Diceros bicornis minor: one gene and its partners. The protein of the gene in region 2 interacts with the protein of the main gene of each other region in a pairwise test. Links are inferred from orthologs where the notes say so. Each region holds a gene or a part of one and is shown on either strand. Other genes may lie near its edges.

What was found. The genes of interacting proteins can lie anywhere in the genome.
Region 1: the proteins of VTI1B (region 2) and TRIM59 interact in binary tests that used the Homo sapiens proteins (3 or more experiments, as listed by UniProt). The two-hybrid records come from large-scale screens. The link is inferred for Diceros bicornis minor from reciprocal best matches to the Homo sapiens genes VTI1B and TRIM59.
Region 3: the proteins of VTI1B (region 2) and PTPN5 interact in binary tests that used the Homo sapiens proteins (3 or more experiments, as listed by UniProt). The two-hybrid records come from large-scale screens. The link is inferred for Diceros bicornis minor from reciprocal best matches to the Homo sapiens genes VTI1B and PTPN5.

What each region holds. Positions count from the first base shown.
Region 1 is NC_080754.1:66,345,694-66,353,042, reverse strand, and holds the start of TRIM59 (tripartite motif-containing protein 59), read left to right. Parts: upstream 1-4,343; 5' UTR 4,344-4,422; intron 4,423-7,349. Other genes in the region: uncharacterized protein LOC131414636, read left to right, coding at 2,336-2,399, 3,022-3,557, 3,972-4,076. UniProt on the Homo sapiens protein: E3 ubiquitin ligase involved in different processes such as development and immune response. Serves as a negative regulator for innate immune signaling pathways by suppressing RLR-induced activation of IRF3/7 and NF-kappa-B via interaction with adapter ECSIT.
Region 2 is NC_080763.1:16,317,977-16,324,973, reverse strand, and holds the start of VTI1B (vesicle transport through interaction with t-SNAREs homolog 1B), read left to right. Parts: upstream 1-3,989; 5' UTR 3,990-4,105; coding exon 4,106-4,220; intron 4,221-6,997. Other genes in the region: RDH11 (retinol dehydrogenase 11), read left to right, coding at 638-740. UniProt on the Homo sapiens protein: V-SNARE that mediates vesicle transport pathways through interactions with t-SNAREs on the target membrane. These interactions are proposed to mediate aspects of the specificity of vesicle trafficking and to promote fusion of the lipid bilayers.
Region 3 is NC_080746.1:76,450,893-76,458,483, forward strand, and holds the start of PTPN5 (tyrosine-protein phosphatase non-receptor type 5), read right to left. Parts: upstream 3,007-7,591; coding exon 3,000-3,006; intron 1,339-2,999; coding exon 1,228-1,338; intron 1-1,227. UniProt on the Homo sapiens protein: May regulate the activity of several effector molecules involved in synaptic plasticity and neuronal cell survival, including MAPKs, Src family kinases and NMDA receptors.

The DNA of each region.
Region 1 (7,349 bases), on a different chromosome or scaffold from region 2:
AGCTCACTGAGATAAGCAACTCAAGTACAAGATCTGTGTTCTCTGTAACTTTCATGCTGTCCATTTATTAGACAAATAAATAATATTGCTGTGCTGAAATGGATTAGAGAATCACACAAGACTATCAAAATCAAAATTTTATGATTTATAAGAAAAAATTCTTGAAATTCAAAATGTTTAGATAATTAAAATAAATGTGATGATGGCATAACAATTACAAACAGAATGTCCTAGAAAATTGCATATTAACTGCCTGAATCAAGAGATTCCCCAAATTTATTTAAGGTAACAGCCACCCACAAAATTGAGCATTTAAAGAAGCTAGTGGATGGGGCCAGCCTGGTGGCATAGTGGTTAAATTCGCACGCTCCACTTCGTTGGCCTGGGGTTCGCAGGTTCAGATCCCGGGCGCAGACCCACACACTGCTTATCAAGCCATGCTGTGGCAGGCGTCCCACACATAAAAAAAAAAAAAATAGAGGAAGATGGACACAGATGTTAGCCCAGGGCCAATTTTCCTCAGCAAAAGGAGGCGGATTGGCAACCGATGTTAGCTCAGGGCTAATCTTCCTCACTAAAAAAAAAAAAAAAAAGCTAGTGGCCAGAAAAAAAAGTTAGTGGCATTTGAAATAAAATGATTCTTAACGAGAGACAGTAAATGAAAGGGAAACTAGTTAGGAGGTAAACTACTACTGAGCAGAAGACATTCTTTTAGTCTTCCAAGTTGCATTCAGAGATACAGCTGAAAAATGCTGTGTGAAAATAAATTCTATATAATATGTTCTAGTGCTTAAGACTGTATAGGTACTAATATCAAATTTGGGCTCAAACTCAGTTTAAGGCAACACCAATATGGTTGGTAGGTTTTTCTTCTCTGAAAATGAAATTTTTCTAGGTTGCCTCTAAGATCTCTTCCAAGTCCAAATCCCTGAGTCTGTGAACTCTATTGCATCATATAGCTGGGTGCTCTTTTTTTTTTTTTAGTAAAGAAGATTGTCCCTGAGCTAACATCTGTGCCAATCTTCCTCTATCTTGTATGCTGGACGTTGCCACAGCGTGGCTTGATGAGCGGTGTGTAGGTCTGCGCTGGGGTCTGGCCCCCTGAACCCTGGGCTGCCAAAGCGAGCACATGAACTTAATGACTACGCCACCAGGCCGGCCCCCAAGCTGGGTGCTTTTTTCCCAGGTAAAATGACCTATGAACTGTCAGGCAGATTCTCCTAGCTCACTGTCCTTGATTCACTGCCACTGTAATCATGGCGGCAGTCTCGGCTGTGTTTTCTTTGAAGTCCTAGAAATAAACCACAGGTGCCTTTAACTTTGGAAAGTCATGTGTTCTCTTTATTATAATTCTGATGAGGCCAACGTGATGGGAGACAACAGGAGGGTGCTTAAACTCTGTAGCTATTAGAACTCCAAATCAGAAAGTTAGCTTGCCTACAGGGCACTTCTCTGTGACTGTGACTGTTTGGGGGCTTGAGATAGAAGATGTCTAAGCAGGGAGCCTGACCTGAGCACCCAAAGGTTGTCCTAAAATTCATGTTTTATTGCCTCCTGTTCATATAACCTGTTAATAACTGCAAAGGTTTATCATTTTTTAACCTTTTCCTACTTTCTTTCAAAAGGAGATTGGTGCAGGCATATAGGCAGAGACCCAAAGCAGCTGAACTTCCCTCTCCTCACCTTTTTTTGGGTAGCTGAGCACCTTAGCACCTCAGATTTTTAAGCTTATGGTTTTAACCACGTACTTCTGTGTCTGAGTGTTACTTCTTTGTCCAACCTTTCCAGGCCAACGTGGTCTTCTGGAGAGTGCCTGAATCACAGTCCACAAACTCAGTATGTCAAGTTGACTGCCATTGGTTTTGTAGGCTCCTGTAGCTCTCTGCTACTTCCTGGTCATGCTGGGTTACAGAAATCTTTGGCAGAGTTGGGAACCCATGGGCCACTAAAGCAGTCTCCCTGGAGCCACAGATGTAGGCCCTCTTTTTTGGTGTCATAGCTTCCCTCCACCAGGACCTGAGTAATTTCTACCTTGGGGCTATCATACTTCTCTTTTTCTGCTTCTTCCAAACATTCAGCTCCCGCATTATCAACGTCCCCCACCAGAGTGGTACATTTGTTGCAAGTGACGAACCTACATTAACACATCATAATCATCCAGAGTCCATGGTTAGTTACCATTGTGTTGTTTCTTAAAAGAATAATTCTATAGACGTATAGTGCATTTATTGCTATGGAAAGATATTCACATCATATTGTTCTGACAGGAAGTTAAGAAGCTGTTTATCAGGATGACTCTAAAAATAGAAAATGTACGTGCATAAAAAAAGTCGAAATGAGCATGTACCACCACACAACAGTGCGCATAGCGCTGGAATCCACACATGATAAGCAACCTCGTCAGTAGCTGAGTTGGTGAAGACATTTGAGATTGGCTCAGGACTCACTGATATTACCTTAATTTCTGTTTCATACTGTGTTTGATGTGCTTCCTGTATTTTACTGTATAAGAGCCTAAGACCTGGACGCACCCGCACCACGCAGTCCCCCAGGGCTCACAGACGATTTAGCACGGCGGCAGGCGACCTTTAGAGGCAGGGGAAGCTGTGAGGGGAGCGCCTTGAGATCGCGCTGGAGAAAGCCTCTCAAGAAAAAAAGGGAAAAGGACTACTGAACTGTATGTTTCCTGATTCTAGGGGGTTAAGAAGGTGAAATAGGAACTCAGTGGAGAAACTGAACTGGAAGTCAGGAATTCTGTGCCCCAGTCGCGTCCTCTCTGGGCAACCACTTCATAAAGCGGGACCAACGGGAGGCAAGGAGGAGCAGGAGACCGTCCTGAGGGGTCCTCGCTCCGCCAGCTCGCGGAGCCGGTTCTCCGGAAGCACCAGGGGACGCTCCGGGGTCGGGCGCCCAGGTCCCTGCCTCTCCGCGCGGAGGCCGCTCGCCTCAGAGGAGGTCGAGCTCGCCCGCTGGGTGCTCGCGCCGCGGGCGGGCGGAGACTGCCGGCGCGGGGACTGTGAGGGGACAACGGAAACACTGCGCTTCGAAGTCCAGCATCACAACATGCGGCCTGGCTTCTAGGGGCCTTCTTCGTGGGGAACGTCGGCCGCCGCCCCAGGAGAGACCCGCCCTGGGGCGCGGCCGCCAAAACCCGGCCTCTGCAGCGCGCCTCGGGCCTTCGGAGAGGGGCAGGCACCCAGGGCGCAGGCGCAGAACGCTGCCGGAGTCTCGCGCAGAGTCCTCGCGATCACGCCCCGCCCTGGCGGGCGCAGCCGACCGTTTACTTTCGAACCGCGGTCCCGCACTTTCCCATTGGCCAATGCTGGGCAGTTGAATGTTGCGCGGAGACTGCGCCTGCGCCCTCAGACCCGCGAGGCCCCGCCCGGTCTGCACGCCTGAAGTCCCTGAGGGCGGAGGGCGCGGCCGCCGAGCGTGTCTCCGCGTGCCCGGGAAGCGGGGAGCTCGGTTTCCGTGCGGGCGGCCCTCCCCGTGTTGAGGCCGAGGAGGAGAAGACGGCTCTGGGTGCCTCTTCCCCGGAGCACAGGCAGGCATACAGGGTGTGTTTGCAGGGAGTCGAGGGTCGCGAGGCGGAGGTGGGCTTAGGTCCTGACCCGCTCCCTCTTGTCCCAGAGGGGACTTGTCCTCCCTCAGGTGGCACTGCCTTTCCGGGGAGCAGCCCGCCGTAGCGGGGAGGGGCGAGCGGGCCTCCAGAGGCCGGGCGGCCGCGGGCTCGCGGGGGAGGCGCGTCCGGCGGCGGCCCGGGTGTCGTCGTCGACCCTGGGGAAGGGGAGGCTCTCCTTCGAGAGGGGCTCTCGGGGCTTCGCGGGAGGAGGTGTGATTGTGCCACGTCACACGTGCTGAGAGGCAGCAGGGAGAACTGACCCAGGGTCCCACGGCGTTTACGTGGCGGAACTGAGAGATGAACAGACGTATTGATGGGAATAACCTAAGTTAATATTTATAATTTTAAGCTGGCAAAATCTTGGACTCCTGTGGAGGCTTCTTGTCTTCCACTTAACTTGAAGCAATCTGAAATGACCACGAACGTTTGCTCCCTCATCCCCATTGTTGACTAATATTGTCGAGAGCTCAGGAGACACTGGACGCTATAAAAAGAGGTCCTTTGTGACAATTGATTTGGTCACAGAATTGTTGGGATTTTCAAGGTACGAGTGATACCTGTCCTGCTGCTCCAACAACTGGTGATATTTGTCAGTACTTTTCTAAAAGCACTGAGGTGTAAAGAAGGTAACTGTCAAAGACAGTGAAAGAACCATTCCTGTGATATCGTATTTAATATATTTTTTGAGGATGTAAATCTAAAACATTAAGGTAAAATTGTTTTAATTTTAGAATTAGAATTGAAAAAGCTGGAGAAGCTAAAGAATATTCAGTCTCCAAGCTAGAAGATCAACAAAGTAGGTAAGCTCTGGGAGACTAAGTGAATATGAAAGAAATCTTCAGTAAATTTTTACTGAGTGTATGATTTAAACTGTAAGTGAAATTTTTAAATCTTTTGAAAAAAGATGTACGTTGGTGTTGTATAAAATTCAAACCATATAAAAGGAGCATAAAGTGAAAAACAACTCCCTCTTCTGACCTTTAAGTCGTTAACTCTTGTATACTCTTTTAGAAATTTTACAAGGATGTGTGCATCTTAATACACGGTCTCATTTTATACATACAGATCTTTAAATTGCATTTATTAAGTTATCTGGACACCTTGTTATTATGTATTTAGATATTGATATGTGTTCTGTTTTAATGATCAAGTAGCTGTCCTTTGAAGTAAGGTACCATAATTTAACTGCTCTGGCAAGGTGAAATTTTGATTTTAGGTAATGTTACTTTGAACATTGCCTTTCAGCAAACATATTGCTGAATGTTTTCCACCAGATATATTTTCACTTTGAAAAGTATAAACAAAAGCAATGAAAACCTTAACTTCTCATTTCAGTTCCTTGTTAAATTGCATTAATAGTTTCTTTTTTGGTTTGGGAAAACAGGTTGATGTCAAAATGCAGGAAAATAGTACAAACGGGCACAGTTAAAATCAGATCTGACCTTAGGATTTTTTTTTTTTTTTAATTTGAAAGAGTTATGGTGATCCTTCATTATTTTTTTATATTTATATGTACAAAAGTATTTTTAAAATCTTGCCCTATGTATATATATGTAGCACAGTTGTAGTATTTCTAAAGTAAGTCTTGAATTGTATGAAATGTGCGTTTTATCAGTTAGGGCCACAAAGATGTGAGCCCCAGTCTGGCTGTTGGCACCTCTTGAATTTTCCCAGACTTAGAGCTGACTCACACTGTAAGTCCAAGAGCAAGCCATCCAACTCTATAATGTGGTCAATGTAATTTCTTTTCAGAAGTTGTAAAATGTAATGAATGTGTTATAATCATTGATGTTTAGAGATGAAAGGCAATACCACATTAGTGAATTAAAACTTAAAAAATAGTTTACACAGGAGAACGGGTAAGGATATTTTTGGTACTGCTTCATTCTCCATCATCTATTATTAGCGCTGACCATCCATAATATGCTGGTTAGACATTGTGGAGGCTCCACAGGAAATCAGCCCTCTGGAGAAACTGCATAAAAAGTTTACAAATTCAGAAGTGTGTTTGTTTTTGACACTTGAAAACAAGAAATTTGTGAAATAATTTACAAGTAGATGATTTAGCTTCAGGTTTCTTTCTGAAAAGATTTATTTTTTATATTCATGTATCTTAGTGACTTTTAAAAGGGAAGCAGAAAGCCTTGAACTAAGTTATCAATTTTTACTTGGGCTTTTAGTACTCACTGGAGGAAAATAACAGTTTACACGGGTTACTTTTATTTTACTTCTTAAAAGTGTAAAATAATATAAATTGATTCTAAAATTAATTTGGCAGAGGAAAGGCTGGATAATAGGCAAGACACTTAAAAAATTTTAAAGTTTTAGACAATTCCTGCCCTATTGCAGACTCACACATTGTAATGTATAGAAAAGTATTACAGAATTCTTTTAAATAAAATCCAGTTAAGTGCTATGAAGTAGAAGTGCAGATTAACAGGGGACCTAATCTGGGGAGGAGGCGGGGCTCAAATTGAGACTTGAAGAATGAATAAGAGTTTGGTTTTGCAAATGGTGAAGATAAGGAGCATAGAGCTAAAAAGTCTAAATGGTGTTTTTTTTTCCCTAATTGATGCCTTAATATTTTATAACATTGTGAAATTTTAGTTCTACGTTATTATTTGTCAGTCACCATATAAATGCATCCCTTCACCTCTTGTGTCCACCCCCCAACCCCCTTGCCCCTGGTAACCACCAAACTGTTCTCTCTGTCCGTGTGTTAATCTTCCACATGTGGTGATCATGAAATCATGCGTTGTTTGTCTTTCTCTTTCTGGCTTATTTTGCTTAATATAATACCCTCCAGGTCCATCCATGTTGTTGCAAATGGGACAATTTTGTCTTTTTTATGGCTGAGTAGTATTCCATGGTGTGTGTGTGTATATATATATATATATATATATATATACACACACACACACACACACCCCACATCTTCTTGATCCAATCATCAGTCATCAGACACTTGGGTTGCATCCACATCTTGGCTATAGTGAATAATGCTGCAATGAATATAGGGGTGCAGAAGCCTCTTTGGGTTGTTGATTTCAGGTTCGTTGGGTAGATACCCAGTAGTGGGATAGCTGGACCATAAAGTATTTCTGTTTTTTATTTTTTGAGGAATCTCCAAACTGTCTTCCATAGAGGTTGTGCCAGTTTGCATTTCCACCAGCAGTGAATTGGTTCCCGTTTCTCCACAACCTCTCCAACATTTATTGTTTTTTGTCTTGGTGATTGTAGTCATTCTAACAGGTGTAAGGTGATATCTTAGTGTGGTTTTGATTTGCATTTCCCTGATGATTAGTGATGTCGAGCATCTTTTCATGTGCTTGTTGGCCATCTGTATCTCTTCTTTGGAGAAGTGTCTGCCCATTTTTTGATTGGGTTGTTTGTTTTTTTGTTGTTCAGTTGTGTGAGTTCTTTATATATTATGGAAGTTAACCCCTTGTTGGATATATGGTTTGCAAATATTTTCTCCCAGCTGGTTGGTTGTCTATTCATTTTGATCCTGGTTTCATTTGCCTTGTAGAAGCTCTTTAATCTGATGAGGTCCCCCTTGTTTATTTTTTCTTTTGTTTCCCTTGTCCGAATAGACATGGAATTCGAAAAGATCCTAAAGAGGTTTTTATGTTTATTAAAGGTACAATTAGTTATTTGTAGATCTCTTCTCAAACTTTTGATCTTAAAAGTTAGTTTTATAGAGGAGGATTTGGAAACCTTTATATTT
Region 2 (6,997 bases):
ACCTCTCCTGCATGTAATGGGGTCTAAAAATAATTAGAATTATAGCAATGAAGAGAAGGTGTATGAAATACCTGGTACCTTATTGTTACCATTTCTTCTCTGCTCTCATCTTTTCCTTCTTTTGTTGTTTATGAAGCTGGGTTTACTTGTTATTCAAGTTTTAAAATAGTTATAACTTCAGGTAGACCAGAAATAAGTAGCTTTTTTTTTTTTTTTTTACCACTCCAAGCATCTGTGACCAATGTAAATAGCAAGATCTCAGCCACATGACACTATACAAGGTCCTCTAGAATGGACCCCAGAGACCTATTTGAACAAGATGGTCAAGCACAGGTGTCAGGCTGGCACTGATATTATAGTTAAATATATACATACAAAGGAGAATATAAAGACTAAATGATATGCATTATATATCAAACAAAGCATTGTGATCAGAGGTGGTCTAGTGAGATCTAAAATGGTAATTACATTTTCTCTGGAGTAAAGATTGGAGAATGAAGAGAGAGGACAAACACTGGCCCTGTGAAGCGCCTAAAGGTCATGTCATCCCTGGGTCCTTTTTCTGTCTTATTCCTTATCCCAGGCAGAGAGCAGACTTCTCAACCCTGTGCTTTAAGCCTCTCTCTTTCCCTTCCAGTGAGTGCCATGTGGCATGGGTCTCTGCCAAGGCTCGTAATGAGACAATAGCAAGGCGGCTATGGGACGTCAGCTGTGACCTGCTGGGCATCACTAGGGATTGACAGGTGGTGGCAGTTGGACGCAAGAGCAGCGTGCAGCAGACTACTCAGTACTCCCTGCCAGAATGTTTCTCCTTCAGGATGGCCAAAACCTTGAGCACAAAGAGAGAAAACCTTCCAGCCTTTCCTGCTTGATGTCTGATGAAAGTCCAGGGTACACTGCCAGATTCTTCTAAACACCTTGCATTTGTCCAGGTTTACTTTGCTACTGTTACTACCAGAGTTACTAAAGATATCATAGGGTAAGTACACCCTCATATGACCTGAAAGCTCATATTCTCCTTCTGAAATCTACTACCTAGGAGAACTTAAGCTATGGCAGGGCTGCTTTATGGCAAATTGAACTAGTTTCTACCCTCCCTATTCACAATGAAGTTCTTCCCAACCAACCAACCTTCACTTCAAGAGAGCCACACTGCAGCCTCAGCTGAACTCCAGGAGTCACAGTGGCTTGGCCCAAGAGCAGGGCTTGTCCCTCACCTCTTAAGAAAACCATCATGATGCCAACATCTAGATTCTTTCAGGAAACTCTTAACTGAATCTGGATTGTGACATGGTTTTATCTCTGTCCACCTAGAACCAGTGCTGTTAAGACACTTTCCCATGCCTAGACCACAGAAGAGCTACCTTTTCTAAGAAGTTTGTGGGGTTTTGGGGGAAGGCAGAAATAAAAATCTATTTAAATTGTCATTTTCCTGCTGTTCCTCAGGCCAGCAAGGGGGTAATGAAAGGAGCAGTATGGGAAGCTGGGCCACCTACTTCAGTTACTGACCCCAGACCCGTGGAGGCCTCCTCCTTCATGCTTTAGCTTCTCTTAGAAAACCAGAAGAAAGGAAAGGCTATCTGGTGATTGTCACTGCGTATATCTTTCTGTATTTATGCAGTTGGGAGTATTTTCACAAAATTCAAAACAGCCACCAGGGAACAGTATTAAACTGGACCCTAGTGCAGGTACATGATAGCGATGGAGCAAACCAGTGTCATCTAGACTTGGATACAAATGGATAGAGCTGCAAAGGGAAGCAGACTCTGTGCATGCTGGTAACTAACCCACCAAGAAGCACATGGGTAGCAGGGAAGAAGTTCAAGAAAGAGAAGAATCCTGGAAGATAATGCATGCATTGAAGGGCTTAGTTAAGGATTAAAAAGAGAAACCCCAGCTACAGATGGTAATATCCAGCTATAGAAGAACTGAGGATGAGCACTTGAGTTAGTAAGACTGACAAGGTACTATCTTAACACGCACCAGTCAGCCAATGTGGCAGAGAATAACCCCAAACAAACAAAAATAAAACAAAAAAACCCAATTCTTTAGTCAGTAAAATTATCTTAAGGACTGATATTGGTAATTACAGTCAATTTACTAATCTTTCAGGGCATTTCATTATCTTAATAAGATTAAAATGTCTATTTTCTAAAAGTCTACATCATATTTGGAGAACTTTTATCAAAAGTAATGCTGTCAAAGGATGTCTGAGGAATTGGTAATGTGCCCATCACTTGTTGGGAGTATGGTTTTCTAATACAAGTTTGTGATTTTGTTGGACTGACAATTATATGTTCACTTTGGTGGGGAAAAGAGTTATAGGATCACAGTCTTTGTGTATTTGTAAATTAATAATCTTTTGTTGAACTTGTTTTGACCATTAAATTATATATTTAGAAATGGTTATTTTATGGAAAAATTTGATAATAGTGCAGTAGAATAACTGAATTAATATTTTACCTGATTTATATAGAACTGTCAATGATAAATAAACATTTTTTGATTATCATGTTTTTATTTACCAGAATAAAAACTGTAAGAATTAAACATAAGCTTAATTAGAGTCAACAGAAGAAAACAATTAATTATAGTCAAAAGAAGAAAACATTTTTCATTATTACAGTTACGCAGTCATTTCTCATTCTGAGGATAATTTGTCCCAGAGTCCAGCCAGAGTATAGTCTCAATTCAAATACCATTAATTTTGGTTGTGTGATTTGATTACTCATTCACCCATTTTCTACTTATCTTGTAAGGTCACTTTTTCCATCCCAGGCTATTTATTCTCTCTCCGTTTTGTACCTGCCCCTTCTATAACACAATGCTATGGGACATATCACAATACACTGCCACTAACAACCTCAGACTCTGCTGTCTCTCTATGCTCAATAAATATTAGGAGCTCAACAAAAGTTTGTTGAATCAATAGTCAATGAACTCAGTCTAATAAAAATAAGGATGCAGGAGATATAAATCACAAAATCATTTCCCCCTGAGCAGTCATGTGTCTTTTAATATGTGTGGGCAGTTTTAAGTATTCCGTTGCCAAGCAAACATTTCTGAACCGGTTCCATAGGCAAAGCATGAGGAATTTCCTGCCACTTGAACCATGAAAACGTGGAGTGCAGGTAAGGACTTTGTAACTGTTAACACTACAACTTGCGGAAAGAGACCTGACGAAGGGGTCCGCCTTGCTCACCACATTATATTATATATTATTCTTCACTAACACATGCCCAGACCCCTGCACAATGACTACGCTGAACATTAACAAACACCTGCTGCGTGAACAAATGCACCAGGCGAGCCCGGCCGCTAGAGGCTGAGGGCGTATTTTGGGGGTCACACTGCCCGGCGACCACTTCTGAAAGCATGTGACCCTGGTCACTTGACCTCCCCAGTAAAAGTGCTTCACCGCTCGAGGGCAGGCGGGAACCCGGCCCGGCTATCTTTCCAGGGCTGAAAGCTAACATTAGTCAGGACGTGAACCGAGGAAGTCAGGGTGGCCAAACAGTGCGCCGACGAGGAAGATAACGTCCAGAAGCACACTGATACCAAACCGCTGTGCGTCAGCGTCATCCCCGGCGGGCGCTGCGCGGCCAGAGCCACCGCCCCGGGCAACCAGTGACCTCCGAGTCGGAGCGTCTTCCGCTACGAACTACAGCCCCCGGCATGCACTGCAGCGTTCCCTCCCCCTCGCCAGAAGGCGGGGCCCTGAAGAGAGGCGGCCGCGCTGCCCGTCCCGCTGGTCCCCACAGTCCTTCCCGCTGCGGCGCTCTCCCCAACCCCGGACTGGGTATTTCCGGGGCCCCGGGGCTGTCGCTCCCGCCGGCGCGCCGCTGCCCCCTCAGGACTCGCCTGGGCAGCGCAGCATGCCGGACTTTCCGTCAGGCTTTCGCGCCCGGCGCTCCCACAGTGACGGCATGAAGGGAGTGGGCGTTCCGACGCGGGAGGACCCCGCCGCGGCCCCGGAAGCTCCTCGTTCAGGGCGGCCGTGGCGGCGGTCGCCGTGATGCCTGCGGCGCTGGGCGGCTGACCGCGAGGTAGCAGCGGGCTCCGTGCCCAGAATCTCGGCGGCCGCTGCTAGAACGCGGCCTGCGCCATGGCCACCTCCGCCACCTCCTCGGAGCATTTCGAGAAACTGCACGAGATCTTCCGCGGCCTCCATGAAGACCTACGAGGGGTGCCGGTGCGGCTCCTGGGCACTGCCGGGACAGGTGAGGCGGGGGCGGGCCCAGCCGTGGGGAACTCGGCTCCGCGCGCCCTTGTAGCAAGAGTCCCAGACCCCGGCCCTTTTCTCTGCTCTTCGTCCTCAGACACGCCCCCTAGGGCTGGCTGGGTCCTGGCGCCCAGGATCTCCCTGCAGCCACTTAGGGTGCTCAGGTGTGGACGCCGGAGTGTCATCTCCTTGGGACTCTCCCTCTTAATCCTCCTATAGCTTTCAAAATTTTCTCGTCTCATTTGCACTGTGGCAAGAAGAGCATAGGAAACCTTACATCTGCGGTTCTCTGTTTCAGTAGAATTGTGTTTTTTTTTTTAGCTCTCTGTATTTTGTCTTATGCACTTAAAAGCATTATTCTCAAGAGAGGTCCGTAGTTTTCACCAGACTGGCAAAGGATCCGTAGCACCAAAAGGGTTAAGAACCCAGAGGAGTCATAACTTTGGGGGTTGGTAAATATCAATTTTGGGGGTTGGTCTTAAAAATCAGGATTGTGGCGTCTAGCTATGGTCCTCTTATGAATTTTCTGTTTAGACTATTTCCTGCCCCTTTTCAAAATTGATTTCAAAATACAGGTTGCTGCAAGCTTTGCCTGGAGAAGCTAGAGTTTTGCAGTGAAATCCACAGGAAGACCTGCCACAGTTATTTGCCTCGGAAAAACAGATCTTGATGTCAAGGCAGATAAGATTTTGTTTTATTGTTTTTACTTAAGGATCAGAGCTTGAGTGTTTGTTCTGTGAGTTACCCAAGATCAGATGAATTAAATGATTCCAGTGAGAATGAAATTCATACGTTTGTTTAACATATTTACTGGGAGAGGCTGCTGTGTGCCAGACACTGTTCTGGATGCTGATAATATTTCAGATTACAGTGAAAAGATTTACAAATCCCCGTTCTAATGAGTCAATGATAATATATAAATATTAAGAGGCAGTGTTGAGGGCAATACAAGAAAATAAAGCAGGGCAAAGGAATAGAGAGTTGGGAGTGGGGAGCTCTAATTTTAAATAGGGTGGTTGTGAAAGGCCTCTTTGAGGTGGCGGCATTTGAGCAGGGACTTGAATGAGGGGAGTAAACCATGCAAAACTCTGGGAGAAGTGAGTGTCAGGAGGACAGAATAGCACTGCAAAAGTCCTTACGCAGAAATGAGCTTGGTATGTCCTAGGAAGAACAAGAAGGCCCTTGTGTTTGGAGTGGACTGAGCAGGTAGTGGTAGTAGATGAGGCTGGAGAGAGGTTCGCAGGGCCAGATCGTGTGGGGCCTTGTAGACCAAGGTGAAAGATTTATATCTTTTTCTAAATGCAATGGGATGCAATTAAAGGATATTGAGCAGGAGAGTGATGAGATCTGATTTACAAGGTGGAAAAAGAGACAGTTTTTTCAGCCTGGTGCTGAATTAAATTTTGCACTGTCCATTTCTATAAGGCTAAATAATGCAAAAGGGCATTCCATTTTGAAAAATAGAAAACTGAATTAGTTATATTCACCTTCATCATCTACTTAACCTTCTCATTCGTACAAAGAGGATGATCAAAAAGGTGTGAATTCCTACCCAAGTACAAAATACTCTAACACAAGTTGCTGGTAACAGACTTAGTTGTTTAATGGGTAAGTAAATGTAAAACACACATATTCCCAGGTTATAATAAGAATTTCAGCAACTTTCAATTTCCCTATTCATACTGCTCAATAAATATTTGTTGAATAAATTGAATTTTATTAAGTAAACACACTGGGCCTCATCTCTGAATCCTTTTTTTTTCCTAGTTCTGAGACTACTCCATAAGCTTTCCAGAGATTTAATTTCCATCGTGAATTATTAGGCACTGAATAATGTACATAATACAGCCCTTGCATTTAGGTTATGTGCTTTAATTTAATTCAGTCATTTTTCAATAAATATTTATTGAGAATTGTTACATGTCACTCACTGTTCTGGGCCCTGAGGAGTTCCAAGAGTTCTTGCCTTCAATGGGAGCAAATTTACAAGAAAGTGTGTGATGAGCCCTAAAATAATTTTGAGACCATTAAAAAAAGGTTAACTTGGGCGTGGGGGAGCAAAAAGAAAGGGGAAGAAAGGGAAGCTTCACAGAAAGGAGAACCTTGAACTGAGTGTGAGGCATTGGATGGGAGTTGGCCAGACAGAGGGGAAATGGAACGAGGCAACAAAGGAATAGAAATTGAATGCTCACAGCTGTGACTGGAGCTTAGGCTATGTGTGGGAGAGTAGTAGATGAGGAAAGTAAGACACAGCCAGATTGTGAAGGTACCTAAGTGTAACATTGAGACATTTGGACTTGATATGGAGAATTAGTAAAGGATTTTAAGAAGCTGACTAATATGGTCAGAGTTTATTTTAGAAGGAGAATGTTGGTGGCTGAGTAGAGGATGCAAGAGAAGCACAAGAATCTGGATACAGGGGACCATGTTAGGAGCCTTTGAGGGAGTCATCTAGATAACATGGGAATCTAGAGAATCCTAAATCCAAGAGGTGAGTCTGAGGCAGAAATTAACCAGACTGATTGGACATGGAGAAGGAGGGAGAAAGATTCAAGGGTGTCTGTATTTTCTCCCTTGGTCAATTGACGAACATAAGAAATATAAGAGTAGAAGCAGGCTTGTTTGGGTTGTGGATGAGAACTTCAAGGGTCCTTATAGAATTGAGAGCATAATGTATGTCAGTTCTAGCCTGACAAGATATTTCTTCTTCTGCCATTAAAAACAACATTTACGAAGACGATATCATGTGAATTGAGAGGCAGTATAGTGTAATAT
Region 3 (7,591 bases), on a different chromosome or scaffold from region 2:
GGAGATGAATATTTAATAACCCGGGAAGAAATTCCAATGGTATGGAGCGAGAAAGGCAAGGTTACAAAATAGTACGATCTCCTGGCCTTAAAAATGAAAACTATAACGGTGCGTATATAAAGGGGGAGAAGACCCTGTGTAAGACGGGAGGTTAACACGAAATAGTGCTGGCAGGGCATGCAGCCCAGTGAATGCCTGGCACACAGTAAGTGCTTAACAAATGTCGTACATGGTAAATGGGAAGAACAGAAGCCAGGTAACAACAAGGCTTCTTTGGAGGAGGGTGAAATTAGAGGTGATTTTTTTCATTGTTTATATATCCTAAATTTCCTCCAATACATACATACACACATAGATAAGTATATACATATATACACATATAGATATATTTATTTGTAGTGAGGAAAAAAGTATTTTAAAAAAGAGACCACCATCTTGAGTTCAGATACCAAGAGGCCTCATTAATACTCCCAGGTTCTGGGCCCTGACTCCCACCTGTCACCTCAGTGTCACAAGGGGGTCATAAGAGACTGAGAGCATGTGTGTGGCTCTGTGAGACCACCCAGCAGCAGAACAGCCACTCAGAAGTCAGGCCCCCGATGATGCGGGACCATCACTCCTGCGTATGAAGGACGGCAGGTTCCTCGCCTCGCGCCTCGTGGGGGTGGAGCAAACTGCAGGCTGGCAGGCCCTGTATGCACAGCTCAGAGACAGAGGTGGAAGCTGTTTTTTTATTTTTAAATCCACAGGGTACCTGGCAGCCCTGGGGGCCAGATGAATCCAACTGACGAGGATTCACTGAGTGCCTGGGAGATGCCTACCTGTCAGAGCAGCGTTTGTTGAAAAGCTTGTCTGGGCAGAAATGTAACATTTCTGTACTCAGGAAGATACATTTTCAAACACATACTACATTCTGCATATAATTTTGGAGGGCACCCACGGACCCCAGGTTAAGAAGCCCTGGTCCTGGTCAGGGTGAGGAGCAGAGGCCTGTGATAGACAGGGGTGGAGGGGGTGGGTGGAGCGCTGGGCTGATTTCAGTCCCTGCTCATTCATGGGTGAGTCCCACACACATTTATCGAGCAGCAGTCGTACACCTTGCAAGCGCTGGGCTAGGCTCAAAACAGTCCGTGCCTGCATGGACCACCATGGTCCTGGGCCTCTTCGTCCTTCCGTCCTCTGGTCTCACTCCTAGAGATTACGTCAGCTTCTTCCTTGCCCGCTCACCCTTCCACTCACTATCTTGTTCTGGGAACGGCAGTGCCACCTCTCCGGGCAGGCTCCGTGCAGTTCCCAGGCGCTTCTGCACACGCAGTTCATCTGTTTCCCTCGGCAGCCCTGTGAGGTAGACATTATCATCATCAGCCCGTTTTGTCGGTGAGAGGCGGCTGCTTGTGTCAAGGGCTGGCTTTTCAATAGTTTACAGCGAGCGAGCTGCATTGCCACGCGTGAAACCCTGACTCAGAGGCAGCTGCTGACGGTGACTGCACATCGGGCTCCTCGACTCGCCTCTTGCACAGGGTGAAGGGGATTTTCTAGGCATGGAAATCGAGGCTTAGTGAGGTTAACTGGCTTGCCCAAGTAAGTGCAGACCAGAAATTTGAACCCAGGGCTTCCTGACACCAAGTGGTCTTTCCAATTTGCCATACTGCTTCTCAGGAAAAGGCTACTGCAGCAAAGGCAGGAGGATGGTGAGAGCCCGGGAGGGAGGGAGGCAGGGGAGGAGGGAGTCCCTGCATCTGGGGGAAATTGGAACCCTAACAGCTGCATGGGGTGGTGGTGGTACAGCTTTCGTCCCTGATCCCTGGCTCACGGCTCTGCAAAGGCTACACGGCGCGGAGGGAAGAAGGACTGGAAGGCAGGAGCTCAGTATCCCAGGCCAGATCTCTAGGGACCCTGAGTAAGCCTGCAGGCAAACGGCCTCCAGAGCCTCCCTGGGGCATGTGGAAACACCGTGATCCCTCTCCTGTCACCTAGCGCCCCAATCCCACCACTACACTCCGCAGCAACCGCGTGCCCCGGGGCTGGTGCTGCCTGAGCTCCAGAACCCGTGGCTGCTCCTGTCAGTGACTCATCCTGGGCGCTGCCAGGCTGCCAGCCCACTGGAACGGGAGCGGAAGGCTGGCCCAGCCTCTTCCTGTTTACGTGAGGAGGGAGGTTCTGTCCCATTCAGCTTTTCTTCCCTTCCCAAACAGGGCCAGGAGTGACCTCCCAGCCACGCCCACATAGTCACAGGGGGCCCTGACCAACAGAACATCACATTCAGTCCTGCCCGGGCTTCTAGAACCACAGATGGCCAGAGCCTGACAGGCCCTGAGGGGCATCTGGTCTAGTCTGCTAAATTCTCAGATGGGGAAACTGAGGCCCAGAGAGGGGAGGTGGCTTGCCCAAGGTCAACAGCCAGCCAATGGCAGAGCCAGGAAGTTAGCTGCTACCATGTCCCCCATCAGCTAACACCCTGAGTGTCTACGACGTGCTAGGCTACTCCAAGTGCCTTACAGATATTAACACACTTAACCCTCACGACAATCCTAGAAGCAGCTGCTACTCTAGAAGTAGGTGCTACTCACGCTCACTTTACAGATGAAGAAACTGTGGCACAGAAGTCAAGTCACTCGGCCAAGGTCAGCTAATAAACGGGTAAGCGAAGACCAGAACCCAGGCAGTCTGTCTCCAGAGCCCACGCCATTAACCAACACACTAGACAAGACTCACTCAGGAATTCTGCTCTCGACGCCACAGCATCTTTGAGAAATCTCCAACACTTCCGCCCCTCAATGTCTCAAGAAGTATGGCGTCCTCCACCTGGGAGATGGTGCCGGGCTCCACAGCCCATCACTGTGTCTGAAACCTCGCCATCAGACATGGACCCTTGTTTATGGGACTATTGTTCCTCCTTGCCGTGGGTACAGAAGAGAGGGGGGAACGATGGGGGGTAAGCCTGAGCAGTTTTCTACCAGCTTCTCCCTGGGGAGGGTTAACCAACAGGGAAGACTCACCCTCCATTACGCTCCTACTCTGGCAGCTCTGAGCCGGGCACACCACGAGCCTTATGCTATTCGATACCCACAACCATGCTGTGAGTTAACGTTCGTGCCCACATCTCATACGTGGAGCTGCAGAGGCAGAGAGAGGTCCAGCGACTTGACCAGGGTCACAGATCCAGGAAGTGGCAGAATGGGGAACTGAACCCAGGCCTGTGGGCCTCCACATTCCATGACCTTCCCGCTATTCCTGGAAACCCACAAGAGGATGGGGCAAGGCAGGCTGACGAGGCCTATTTTGAAGTTTTGCTTGGGTAGTCCTGAATGCAGAACCAAGTGAGGGGCTGCCAAGGGAACTGAGAAGGGGTGGAAACATCTAGAAGGAATATGCTTGATCAGCCATTTCTGCCATCACCATCATCACACTCCTCAGCACTGCCCTGGGCTCTGAGAGGAAGAGCTGGCCTTGCTGGGCCGGGGCACCGCTGTGGTCTCTGTCCTCTCCGGGAGAGGGTGGAGTGGTGGCCCCCATTTTCTGTGACATTTTGGGGGGTGTGTAGCAGGAAAACTAGGAGGCAGAGGGTAGGTGCTGGGGGAGGAGACGTTCCCGGGGAGGAGAAGATTCCCAACAACGGTTTCACTTGGCAAACATTTCCTGAGCACTGCTCTATCCCTCGGGACCTATGCGTCTCCATCCCGACGCTTACCAGCGGGACTCCTCAGAGCGAGAACAGCCCTGATGAAAACACTTCTAGCCCCTCTGGGCAAAGGCTGAGGGTGTGGGGCTCTGGGAATTCACACCGGCTCCCCACAACCCCTCCACCTCACCAGTCCTGCTGATCAGCGAGCAACACGGTGAATGAGTCCCCAGAAGGAGGCAGTGAGATGACAAGGACCTGGGTTGGCAGTGAGTAAGCGCTTGATTCCTCTTGGGAGGTAAGCTGGCTGAGGGCAGGCCCATGTCCTGTTCATCTCTGCAGTCCCCAGGCAGGCAGGACGGCAGTGGAAAAGGAAACTGATTTTGGCATAGGAGGACTCTGGAATAGAACACAGGTGCTCGCCATTTATTAGCGACGTGCCTTGGACAAGCTGTTTACCTCCCTGTAACCTGATTCCCGTGGGGGTCTCCAATGGTGTCTGTGACTCCTTCCACAGTCCTCCCATCAATAGGTGGAGTCTATGCCCCCTCCCCTTGACCTGGAGGATGGCCTCAAAGATGGGAATCTGGCAGAAGTGATGCTGCCTGACTGCTGAGCTCAGAAAAGTCCACGTAGCTTCTGCTGCTTCTCTCGGGACACTTGCTCTGGAAACCTTCAGCAGCCATGTAAAAAAATCTAGCTGCCCTGAAGCTGCCTTGTGGAGAGAAGAGAGAGACAGAGCGCAGAGAGCGCGTAAGGATGAGAGAGAGTGCATGCATCAGATGCAGCGGGGGCTCAGGAAATTCTGAACGCTGAATGGAAGCGATCAGGCGGGACATTCGGCAGCTGGGCCAGTGAGGCAGGAGGGCACCTGCACCTTAGGGGCAACGGGATGGTCAAAAAATCATCTGTATGAGACTTTTGTGTGTTGCATTTAGAGTCGTTGTTCTGGGAACTCACCTGGAGCAAGGTGAGAGAGCTGTACCACAAAGAAGGGGGTGGGCAGCTGTATTAGTCTCCCTCCTGCCTGACGGAGAATGTTCCAGGAATCGCTTCAGTCACTTGCTTCAAGCTGGAGACCTGGTTCTCACAGCACCACAAGGTGCAAGCCTTTGGGTCTGCAGTTCAGGCTAATGAGCTCTGGCTCCTCCACACCTCAGAACTATCCTGTCCTTCCCCCTCCCAAGCCCAGCAAGGCGCAGCGCTAAGCTGCGCAGTGACTGCTTCACAAGACTTCCTCATTCAGTCCTTACGACCACTGCATGGGCCAGGCAAGAGGCCTGTGCTCATTTTACAGAGAGGAAGACAGAAGTCCGAGGGGTGAAGGGACTGGCTCAAGGCCATCGCAGCTCGTGGACAGAAGAGCCAGGACTCAGACCCAGGCAGCTGGGCTCCAGCATCTGTTTTCTTAACTGGACTCCGTGCTGCCCGCCCCAGGCTGGGCCTCCACTGCTGCTTCCCCATCCCTGTCAGGGGAAGTCGGCCTGAGAAGGAGCTTCAGCCCGTCCCAGAGCCGAGGGGACAGGCCTTCTCCTCTTGACACAGTCTGTGACACCCTGGCAAGGGGTGGGCTGAGAAAAGCAGGATTGGGACGAGGACGTGGGGAAGAGGTCTGGGAACCAAGGGTGTCTGATGCTTAGTCTGGAGAGCGGGAGGCTGGGGGCAGGGGGTGCTGAACACTGTTCGCAGACACCTGAGAGGCTGTGCCAGGGAAGAGGGCAAGCGAGAGGCAAGAACGGGACCCCGTGTGGATGCCCCCGGCGCGTGGGTGCCCTCGGCGTGTGGATGCTCTCGGCAGGCAGACTTCCAAGTAACAAGAAATATCTCTAGGACCTGACCCTGCAAGTCCGTATTGCAGCTCTTCCTGTCCCCACAAGTGGCTCTGTTTCCAGGGAGGGAGCTTTTGATAAGAGCTCGCAGCAAAAGCTTTGGAGTCACACAGACTTAGGTATGGGGCCCGACTTCGCCATTTACTACTTCTGTGACCTCAGGTAACTGACTTAATGTCTCCCGTGGACAACAGATATACTCAGACTTGCCTGTTGGATTTTGAGGATACTATAAGGTAAAACACACAAAGCGCTTAGCCTGGGGCCAGGCACACAGTGAATATTAGCGGCAGAATTGAGAAAGGAGGGGGAGACAGAAGGGAGGGGAGCATGAGGGAGACGCTGCAGTAAGGACTTCCCTTCCATCTGCCAGGGGAGGCCCCCAGGGGAACAATGGGTACTCTGCCCCATGTGGGCAGGCGCTTCGAGGCTGCTGGCTAGCAACTGGGGTCGGTGGATGGAGTGGGCATGGACTGGGGGTGGCGGAAGTGGGGCAGCTTTGTCTCTGCCAGTTAATTAAATCTGGAATGCTAACAAGCTTTCAAAACAAAACACGACTCAAGTACTCTTTGGATGGGATGTAATACAATGGTTCTGTCTGAAACTGCAAACAGCTTTGTTCCTGCGAACAAAGGCTCAGTTCTCTGTGCCTCTCCGGAGCGGAGGCCAGAAGCACAGGGGTGAAAAGGGTCAATGAAACTCGGAGGGTGCAGCTGCCCAGCTGCCCCCGCTGAGAACTGAAAGAACTGAGAGAGAGGCCCCAGGGAGATGGGGTACCTGAGGTCCCAGGTACCTGAGACTTAAACAAAAGTGTGGGGAAGAAGGGACAGACTTGAGAGAGCATCTTATTCTACCTTCCCATTTCACAGAGGAGGAAACTGAGGTCCAGAGAGTAAGAGGCAGAACCAGGACCGGCACGTGTGTCTTTAACCCTCTGGTTCGGTTCTCGCTCATTAGGCCAGTGTGAGACGTTTCCCAGGGACTGCCTGGGGGTATCTGAAGGGCTGAGGCCTGAGCCCCATGGCAGCAGAAGCCTGGGTCTGGCTTGGGGTTCTTCGGTTGGTCCTGGTCAGTGCCCTCAGAATTCTAGACAAGTCCAGGTGACGGGAAGTGAGCAAGAGCAACCCGAGTGCCCCCACTTTGGGACAAATCCCAAGCCTCCAGAGGCCACCACCTTCAGACGGCCCTCTGCAAGCAGGGAGGCTCACGACGCTGGCAAAGTGTCAAGAGGCCAGAGTGCCTATCCCGGCTCTGCCTCTGCCAGCTGTGTGGCCCTGAGCATCTCACCTCCCCCGTGGGCCTCAGAGGCCTTCTGTCAATCCAAAGAGTGTGACTAGGGGTCTTGAAGAGCCCTTCCAGCACTAAAGAGCCACTGCTGCCAGTTTTTAAAAAACAAATCTGAGCCCCTGCTTTCATTTAATTCATTGGCTTCCCTTGTTCTCAGGATAAAGACCTAAATCCTCGTCACGGCCAGCAGTGAAGGCCCAGCATGCACTGTCCCCTGCTTATCTCCCCAGCCTCCACCCACAACACCTTCCTCCTGGTGGAACCTGGAGGTGGAACCTCCTCTGCTGGAACCAGTCTGGAAGAAGTCTGGAAACTGGTGGTTCTGCTCAAAGAACTCCTCACACAGTTCCTCAGGGGGCACATGAGTCGAGGTTCTCTCCTGTGCTTTCTGTGGTGGGGTAGGGAAGTCTGCATGCCCATCACTTGGGGCAGCTGTAGGCTGTCCAGGGACACACTGGGGAGTACTACGCAGCCCTTAGGAGCAAAGGATCAGAGCACATACGGCACCACGGAAGGATCTCAGAAACAGAGTGCTAAGATCGAGATCTCACACAATACAACAGACACAGATTAAAAATATATGCACACAAAATATCACCACCCATTCTGCCTGAGTGCACAGAAACAAACAAAAAAATCACATTAAACAGACTAACTATGGAGAGAAGGGGCGTGGCAGTGGGAGGTAAGAGAGAATAAGTAAGTGCATAAAACCAGAGGGCCCTCGTGTAGACCACTGCAGATAATGGGCCATGCACCCGGAAGTATGATCGACCACTCTAAAACCTAAAAACAATCATTACCCCCTCCCCCAGGAAACAAGAAACAGAATCACTGAGTTGGAAGTTGGGTC